2 linked regions of the Nothobranchius furzeri genome follow. The protein of the gene in region 2 interacts with the protein of the main gene of each other region in a pairwise test. Links are inferred from orthologs where the notes say so. Each region holds a gene or a part of one and is shown on either strand. Other genes may lie near its edges.

Region 1 (3,981 bases), on a different chromosome or scaffold from region 2:
TAGTTTATTGATTAATCGTTTTGTACATAAATAGTACAAAACTGCAATTTTACTGTTCTTTGGTTTAAAGGGGAACACAAAAAATCTAATTATTCATCATCAATTATCTTTCACATTTTGATCATGTAACCATACCCACATAATTTGTATATTTATTTCATTGATCACTGCTTTCAAACTGGAATATTTATTTATTCATATATATTTTTTTAGATTTGTGGAGATTTCCATTCGTTTGTGTGTGTAGATAAAAAAATAATTAATGGATTATAGTAAAAAGAAAAAGAATCATACCACAATATTTCCCTGGGTTAGCATTGTGGTTTTAATTTAAAGAATAGGGATGTAAGAAAATGTTTGTATGATATACATATAAATGTTGTGTCCAAATCTAAAATAGGAGATAGAGTGAAATGACACTATAAAGTATTTTAAAAAGATGATAATGAATAAATATTTCAAAGCAATTTATCAAAATTGCATGCAAACATTTACTGTTTTGTGTTATGTAGTTCAAACTCCAACAGCTAGGTGGCAGCAGTTTTACCACCTTCACTCTGATGACAAGACCTTGCGGTAACACCGGGATAAAACGTGTCTGAAGTGTCTGAGCCAGTGTTTCCCAATCATCTAGTCTTGAAAATTGCAAATATTGTTTGTTTATTTAGCATCGCAATATATCGTATCCCCCCATTGTTAGAAATAGTCTATAACTAGATTCTTGCCAGTACAACTCTCTGTTAAATAGGAGAAAAAAATAACGATTTATTACATTTCAGATTTAAAACTACTCGCTTATAAATGAACACAGTTTTGCTTTTTATCTCAGTCCAGTACAAATTTAAAATAATTTTAGTCAACAAATTTATTTTTATATGACAGGACCATTATTTAAACCATAATGATGAAAATGGGTTAAATTAGTGAGTATAAGAGTAAAAAAAATAAAGATCTTTTTCAGAAATAAATCTCTCAGCTGCTGTATGCCATTAAAGAGCTTCTTCTTAAATGTTGCTTTAAATGTAACTCGGAATTCCTGGTTTTAGTTTCTCACAAACGTCATAGATATTCAGATGCCATCATTTAAAACGCTTTTAAGTTCTTAATAATGAAAATGAAGAATAGTTTTAGTATTTTAATACAAACAGTGTTAGTTCACGCGGTTTTATCCTACAGTCACTGGGTTGTTAGTCAACTTTACGGGCAGCACTTAAACGCACCATCCGTTTTTCAGCCGGTGTTTTTATTTATTTACGCCCGTCCGTTCCCGTACGGTTGCCTCCATGCTCCAGGGACGAAAACCCTTACGTGCAGGTAAATTACACCAATATAGGTGCTTTTATTTTCCTCTGATTTTCGTTTAATTTCAGGTTTTTGGCTTAAATTGGCTTATCGGTCAAAGCGAAGAGCCTCTTCAGAGCTTTAGTATGGATCGAAAACATATTGACAGCTAATTAGGCGTGTATTTGTAATCATGTGTGGATTTCTCAGCCTTTTTGTGATGAATTATTAATTTGCTAGCGGCCGCCTGGGTAAAATGACAGCTGTCTGCCATCTGTAACGTGGCCATTTGTTTTAAAGGGAGACTCACTAAAACACAATAGGCTGTTTGGAAATGACTGTGCGGAAAGCTTGCGTTTGTCTGCAGTCAAGCTTAAATGCTAACCTTATTAGGTGTCATAATTAATTTTTAGCTGATAATTAATCTGTCACTCATTTCAACTCTAATTTGAAGCAGTCGCTGTCAAACTGCAGATATTTTTTAATTGATTTCAGTTATATGATTTATAACCAATCAATAAATCAATCCCTGTCCATGTTTACATTTATTTTGAAAAGAAGAGTAAAGAGACATGTTGTCAATTGCTCAGAATAGTCAGGTGTATCTAAATACCATGTGTTGTTGCATGCATTTGTCTTGAATACAGGAATACCATGACCCTGACCAGAGGATCTTTCACTTATGCCAGCGGGGAGGAATACCATGGCGAGTGGAAAGAAGGCAAGATGGTTCTGTTCCACAGCTCCGATCCAAACGGAGACATCTGTCTGTGTTGCTCCATGCACGTCAGAGAGGTTTTGTCAGAGTTACAGGATGTGGTGACTGAGAAACGTCTCTTCAGTGTTTGTTAGATTCCTGCCTGCTCCTATCTGAACTGCTCGTTCTTTACATTTACTCCTGATTCTTGGAAATTCAGTTTTCTTCAAATTATAAGTAACAAAATTGTCAGTGAGATGAAAAATGTATTGAAACTTAAAACTGCATAAGTGTGGGCTTAATTATCTATTTAGAATGGAAATATCTAAATGATATTACCTGTGTTACTCTCACATTTACCTGCAGGTGCATTGCAGTTAGCTGCTGCTGGTAACTTAATACGAGCAGAGCCAGATTTAACAGCTCTGCTTTTGTCTAATCCCTTTTGAGCCTGACTTTGGAGTTTGGAACTGTTTAGGAAAGTGTGGCCAGTCCTCAAGGAGCATTTCATTTAATTAAAATACAACAGCATCCTTTATGCTGTGTTTAAATGTGCATTGCAGTTCTAACTCTTCGTGTTTATTTTCCCCTCCCATTTCTCCTTTACCCAGTTTTTGTGTGTCGTGGTGCAGTTTGTTCACTTAAGGTTCAGGTTTAAAATAGAAATCACTGCAAACCTGCAGGATTAGACGGCCGTAATTCCCACTTGCACGGGAGACAGATGGGGCTCCTAGTTCAGTAGTAAATCTTTATCTCATTTGGTTGGAAGGAAGTATTTAAATCCAAGTGTCCAATTTCTTGACACCTGAAGTGGCTCTGCAAAAAAATATGTCATTGTCAGACTCAGAGGCATCACAGTTGAAGCTGGTTGCTCCCTTTATTGAGGCATTTGTATTTAAATGAAGTTAAAATGTGCTCTGATATGATATTCCAGGAATGTAATGGTAATATTCACTAAGATGTGATGCTTTCCAGGTCGGAGGCATGGCCTCGGCCAGCTCAAGTTTCAAGATGGAACCTGCTACACTGGCCAGTTTGAGAATGGACTCTTTCATGGATCTGGTGTGCTGCGTTTTACAGATGGGTCCCGGTTCGTGTGCAAAGAAAGGGTAAACATTTTTGCACTTTGTTAAAAGATGCAAACAACATCCTGGTTTATTTACACCACACTAGGTATGAAGGAGAATTTGCACATGGCAAGTTTCAAGGCACGGGAGTCTTCAGCCGATACGACGGCATGAAATTTGAGGGGGAATTCAAAGACGGGCGCGTTGAGGGATACGGTAAGTCTGTGACCCTCCCCGCTTGGAGCAGCACATCCATCAGAATGTCAGTTTCCTCCATGTGGTTGGTCATGGTAGGATGTGTCTGTACCTGCAGGGCTGTTGACTTTCCCAGACGGAACTCACGGCGCTCCACGGAATGAGGGCTTGTTTCAAAACCACAAGCTGCAGAGGAGGGAGAAGTGTGCAGGTGTGGTGCAGCGTGCGCAGGCTTCAGCTTCCAGTGCTCACAGCCTGGCGACCTGATCGCTTGGACTCTTGAGGGGATGTTAGCTGAGCACCTTCCAGAAGGGCCTTAAAGATGTAAACTCCTCCAGTGCTTCTTACACTTTTTATTGTTTAATATTTTAAAATTCTGCCTCTCCTTTGGTCCACCAAATGCATTTGAACCAAATAACAGCTTTCTGTGTGGATTATTAGAAAGGCACAACAATAAGAAGCACACAGTGAGCAGCAAATTAGGCTTTTATTGTGTAAATATATAAATTAGTGTTCTGGACCTTAAGACTTTAAAATAACAAAGGAGAGCTACTGTGCACCTTGGATTTAGAAGTTTTAAAATTAAATATTTAAAAAAGTTTTAGCCTGTGATTAGATACTTTTTCTGAAAAAAATAAAATAAATAAAACTTCGTAAAGCAGCTTAAAATTCTAGAAATAATTTAGGGATGCTCCGATCCAGTCACGTGATCGGAAATCGGGCCCAATCACATGGTTTTAA
Region 2 (4,112 bases):
CCAATCAGTGACTGGCAGTCCTCTGACGTTGCGTTTTTCGTCCCAGTTTGGTACACTTGGAACCACTTTGAAGCAGACAAATAAAGGAGCAGCGACCTGGTACCCGTTACTAGTGAAACTGGGCTGAATCGAGTGGAGCTCTGCTTAGAAGGTACTGAAGGAAAAATCTACAAGTGCAACAGAGAACATTTACACCTTTGTCCAGATTCAATTCAACCACCTTCAGAGTTTTCAAGATTTTCCAGCACCGTACAGTCATGATTTCCACACACATGGAGAGACGCTAAATGGACAAAATTATTGTCTTGCTGAATTTCATTATTGGTCTAAAACTCATGCACGTCAATTGGATATTTTTAGCGATGTCCCAATACGACTTTTTCACTTCCGATACGATATCGATGTTGCAGCCTTCAGTGTTGACCGTTACAGATATCAATCTGATACGATATCAGCACAAATCATACTTTTACCCGTTTCCTAATGTGGAATGTATGAAAGGCTTGATCAACTGATATTACTCAACTGGAGAACAACAGCCAATAACAATAAGTATGAAAAATTTCTTTTGTAACCATTGGTTGCTGTAGCTGCCCCTGGCACCATGAAGAAAAGAACGGAGAGCCTCGACGGGTGCATAAACTTTTATTCGTTTCTCTGGTCCAATGCCTTGGACTTCACTCCATGAGTTGCACTGTGAAAACTGTTTAGAGATATACAAAGCATAAATAAAAGGTGAACACAACTTCGATGTCATAACAGAAATGAATTATATTCTCACATTTACCTTGCTCCACTGGCCAAGGATGCTAAACAAACCAATAAGTCCTTAAAGCTGCTTTATCTGTAGATTTGAGTGGGGATGGACAAGAATAACAAACAATGACTATAGAGTGTCGAAGTAATAACCCAAACAAAAGCGTCAATACAGCAAAACTTACGTGGGGATGCAGTCGGCACTGTGCAGCTGAGGTGAATTTAGACCAAAGACATAATTTCAACACTTCAAAAGTGTTATCTTCTCTACAAACAACTTAACCCAAGCCATTTTCTCTGGAAGGGTGTGGCTTATATAAAATCTGTGAGCCAATTAAGAGTCATTGCCATCAGCTGCTCATCTGGCAGCTACAGTTGCAAAAATGTGAACCTTAACGAACCGCTTTTATAGGAGACTTTTGATGCCATCCGATATAATCCGATACAGTGTTTTTGGGCTGATATGGAATGACCTCCGATATCGGAATGGGACATCCCTATGTTTTACTTTGTGAAGTGCACCAAGACGACTTGTCGTTATTTGACGCTTTATAAATAAACTGAATTGAGTTTCACTTTCCAGTGTCAGCACCAATGCATGACTTTAAATAACGGAGATGTTGATGTAAACAAATACTGCAAGACTACACAAAGTTTTAGGACAAAGTCAAATCAAACCTACTACGAAGGAAGGTCTGGATCTGAAATGTGTTCATGTTTTATTTCCCTACATTAGACTGTTTTCGATTGTGAGCTCTTTTCTCTGCAGCCTAACAGCATATTTGCATCTGCCGTCCAAGAACCAGTAAAGTACACCCTGCATCTTATGATGACTGTGTATTCTCTGTGCTTTGCCACTCCAAGATAATTTCAGTCAGGAATACCACTTGGATGTTATGTTACTTCTGAGATGAATAGTTGTTTGTTTTTAGTGATTGAAGAAATATTTTTGTCATTTTCCCAGGCATCCTCAGAATTTGTTCAGTTCAATAAAATTCTACCAAATGTTGCAAATCTGCATCCTTCTTCGAAGGCCAAATTATGTTATGTCCTTCACTCACCCAGCTCGGTGACCTGTCGGTCAAAGGGGCAGCGGACCGCTCTGCCGTGGAGGGGCAACCGGGTGAGACAGTCGTGGCACACGGTGTGGCCACAGAGCAGAAGACGGGGGACCTTGTCACCTTGGAGGGAGAAGACGTCCTCACACACACCACACTCCAGCACCTGCAAGTGACAGCACAGCTTGAACACTGCCTGTCTATGTGTCTGTCTGTCTGTATCTGCTGCAAGGTGACTTCCACACTCAGGATCACGCACACTTGTAAGGAATTTTAATTTGTAACTTTAGGTTTGACTTGATGCAGAAAAGCAGAGGTACTTGAAAAATAGTGATGAGATAAAAAAATCCCAGGGTGTTGCAGTCACTTTGACATAGTGACTCCCAAGGTAAACATCACGAGACGCTTTGCCCACATTTTATTCTGTAAACTAAAATTAATTCTTCCAACAGCTGCTACTGTACACCCTTATAATGCACTGACTAGCTGATTGCTTGTTTTTGTTTATAAGGCTGCAGCGATCAGAAACTTGTGCTAATGCCAACCGGCGGTTTTCGAGCTGGTGCTAGCTCGCAGCAAACGCTTCTTAATGACAAACGAGTCTTCTGGAATGCATAAACGGCTACAATAACATGATGAAACGCGTTTGCACAGCTATTACACTGTCAAAATCCGTATTTGGCACCCACTGCGACCAACGCCAACGCAGCAGCCTTAGCTTCCAACTAGAAATACATCAAGCAAGTCTGAACCAGCGGACATTTATCACCAAAGCTAACCAAATAATATGTTCACAGCAATAACGACCTAGCTGCGGAAATTTGTGACATGTTTACGACCTTCACGGTGCTTCCACTGGCTCCCCTCCCGTGCCGGAGACAGGTCTCCATCGTCGCTCCTGCGCCCTGCTTGTTTATTCCTGCTGCAGCGGCGGCCATTCTTCGACGACGGCGAGCGAGAGAACTGAGCATGCGTGAGAGGATAATCCCTCAACAACTTCCGCGGTGTCAATTTTGGTATACTTTTTGTAGTAATTTTGTAACCCACGTTCACTAAATAAATCGCATAGTGATAAACAACCGATAAATGACCCGCATTTGTATAGCGCCTTTCAGAGTCAGAGGACTCTGTAATTTCATTCTTTTAATTGTCTTTACTTTTTACCCTTTAAACCATATAAGTCCGTGGTTGAAACGACCACCAAGCAGCTTCAGCTTTTTTTATTTGTTATATAAATCTAATGCTTTGCTTAACTGGCTCAACTTTAATGTTTATTTACTCGTTCAATACATTTATCGAGAACAAACCACAGGCTTCTAACTACATGTCCCATCATGCTGCGTGAACGTTCCGTGATGATGACGCATTTTCTACGCGCCGTGTTTACAGAGAGGAGTTGTGGATATAAGCGGGATTCTACACGCTAAAAGCTGCGGCTTTAACGGTATAAACACATGTTTGATTAAAAACGTATTTTTTGTTGTTTATAACCTGTTTTTATGTTTACTTACCTTTCAGTGAGCGGTTGAATTTCGCCATATGTTTATTCTGCGCGGCTAACGTTTTATGTTCGCGCATAAATGCCATTTTCTCACCACTCAGGTGGACTTGATATGTCTCAGCCAACACAGCAGACGGGGCCATCTGCTCCTGACTTCCCTGCTCTGGTGGTCACAGCAAACGTGCAGAAATATGCCATAAAGAAGAAGAAAATCCTGAGTGCTGAAGAAAGTGAGCTGTTTGAACTGACTCAGGCTGCAGGCATCACTGTGGATCAAGAAGTCTTTAAGTGAGTGAACCGAGACCGGTAGAAATGTGGTTCTTCACGCGGCGAATGAGTAAAGGATTCGTTTCTGCCCTCCTGTAGGATCATAGTGGACCTCCTGAAAATGAACGTGGCTCCCCAAGCGGTCTTCCAGACCCTGAAGGCAATGTGTGCAGGACAGAAAGTAGCCGACAGCTGCATAGAGGCTTCAGTTGTCTCCCACACAACAAACACCACCCCAGCACCCACCGAGGTCAAAGGTCAGTGTGTAAAAACTGGGCTTTAGTTTTGAACTTCAAGTGTTACTCCAGCATGGAGGGATTCTCTTGCTGATGCAGTTAAAAATCGCACTTGTACTGTGCTTTTCTAAGTCAGGGACTCCAAAAGTGCGTTACACTGCAGTCAATAATTCACCCATTCACACTGATGATGACCCACCAGTTACCGGGTGAACTAACCCCTGAGCCACCATCAATTTATATTGGGTGAAATGGTTTTGTGATCAGTAGTTTCTAGTGTACCCATTTCAACTT

What was found. The genes of interacting proteins can lie anywhere in the genome.
Region 1: the proteins of trim23 (region 2) and morn4 interact in binary tests that used the Homo sapiens proteins (3 or more experiments, as listed by UniProt). The two-hybrid records come from large-scale screens. The link is inferred for Nothobranchius furzeri from reciprocal best matches to the Homo sapiens genes TRIM23 and MORN4.

Annotation. Positions count from the first base shown.
Region 1 is NC_091752.1:21,507,667-21,511,647, reverse strand, and holds morn4 (MORN repeat-containing protein 4), read left to right. Parts: upstream 1-1,181; 5' UTR 1,182-1,314; intron 1,315-1,928; 5' UTR 1,929-1,935; coding exon 1,936-2,002; intron 2,003-2,953; coding exon 2,954-3,068; intron 3,069-3,151; coding exon 3,152-3,261; intron 3,262-3,339; coding exon of another isoform or gene 3,340-3,358; coding exon 3,359-3,507; 3' UTR 3,508-3,660; downstream 3,661-3,981. UniProt on the Homo sapiens protein: Plays a role in promoting axonal degeneration following neuronal injury by toxic insult or trauma.
Region 2 is NC_091746.1:63,287,569-63,291,680, forward strand, and holds the start of trim23 (E3 ubiquitin-protein ligase TRIM23), read right to left. Parts: upstream 2,801-4,112; 5' UTR 2,786-2,800; coding exon 2,654-2,785; intron 1,981-2,653; coding exon 1,818-1,980; intron 1-1,817. Other genes in the region: mzt2b (mitotic-spindle organizing protein 2), read left to right, coding at 3,428-3,603, 3,682-3,839.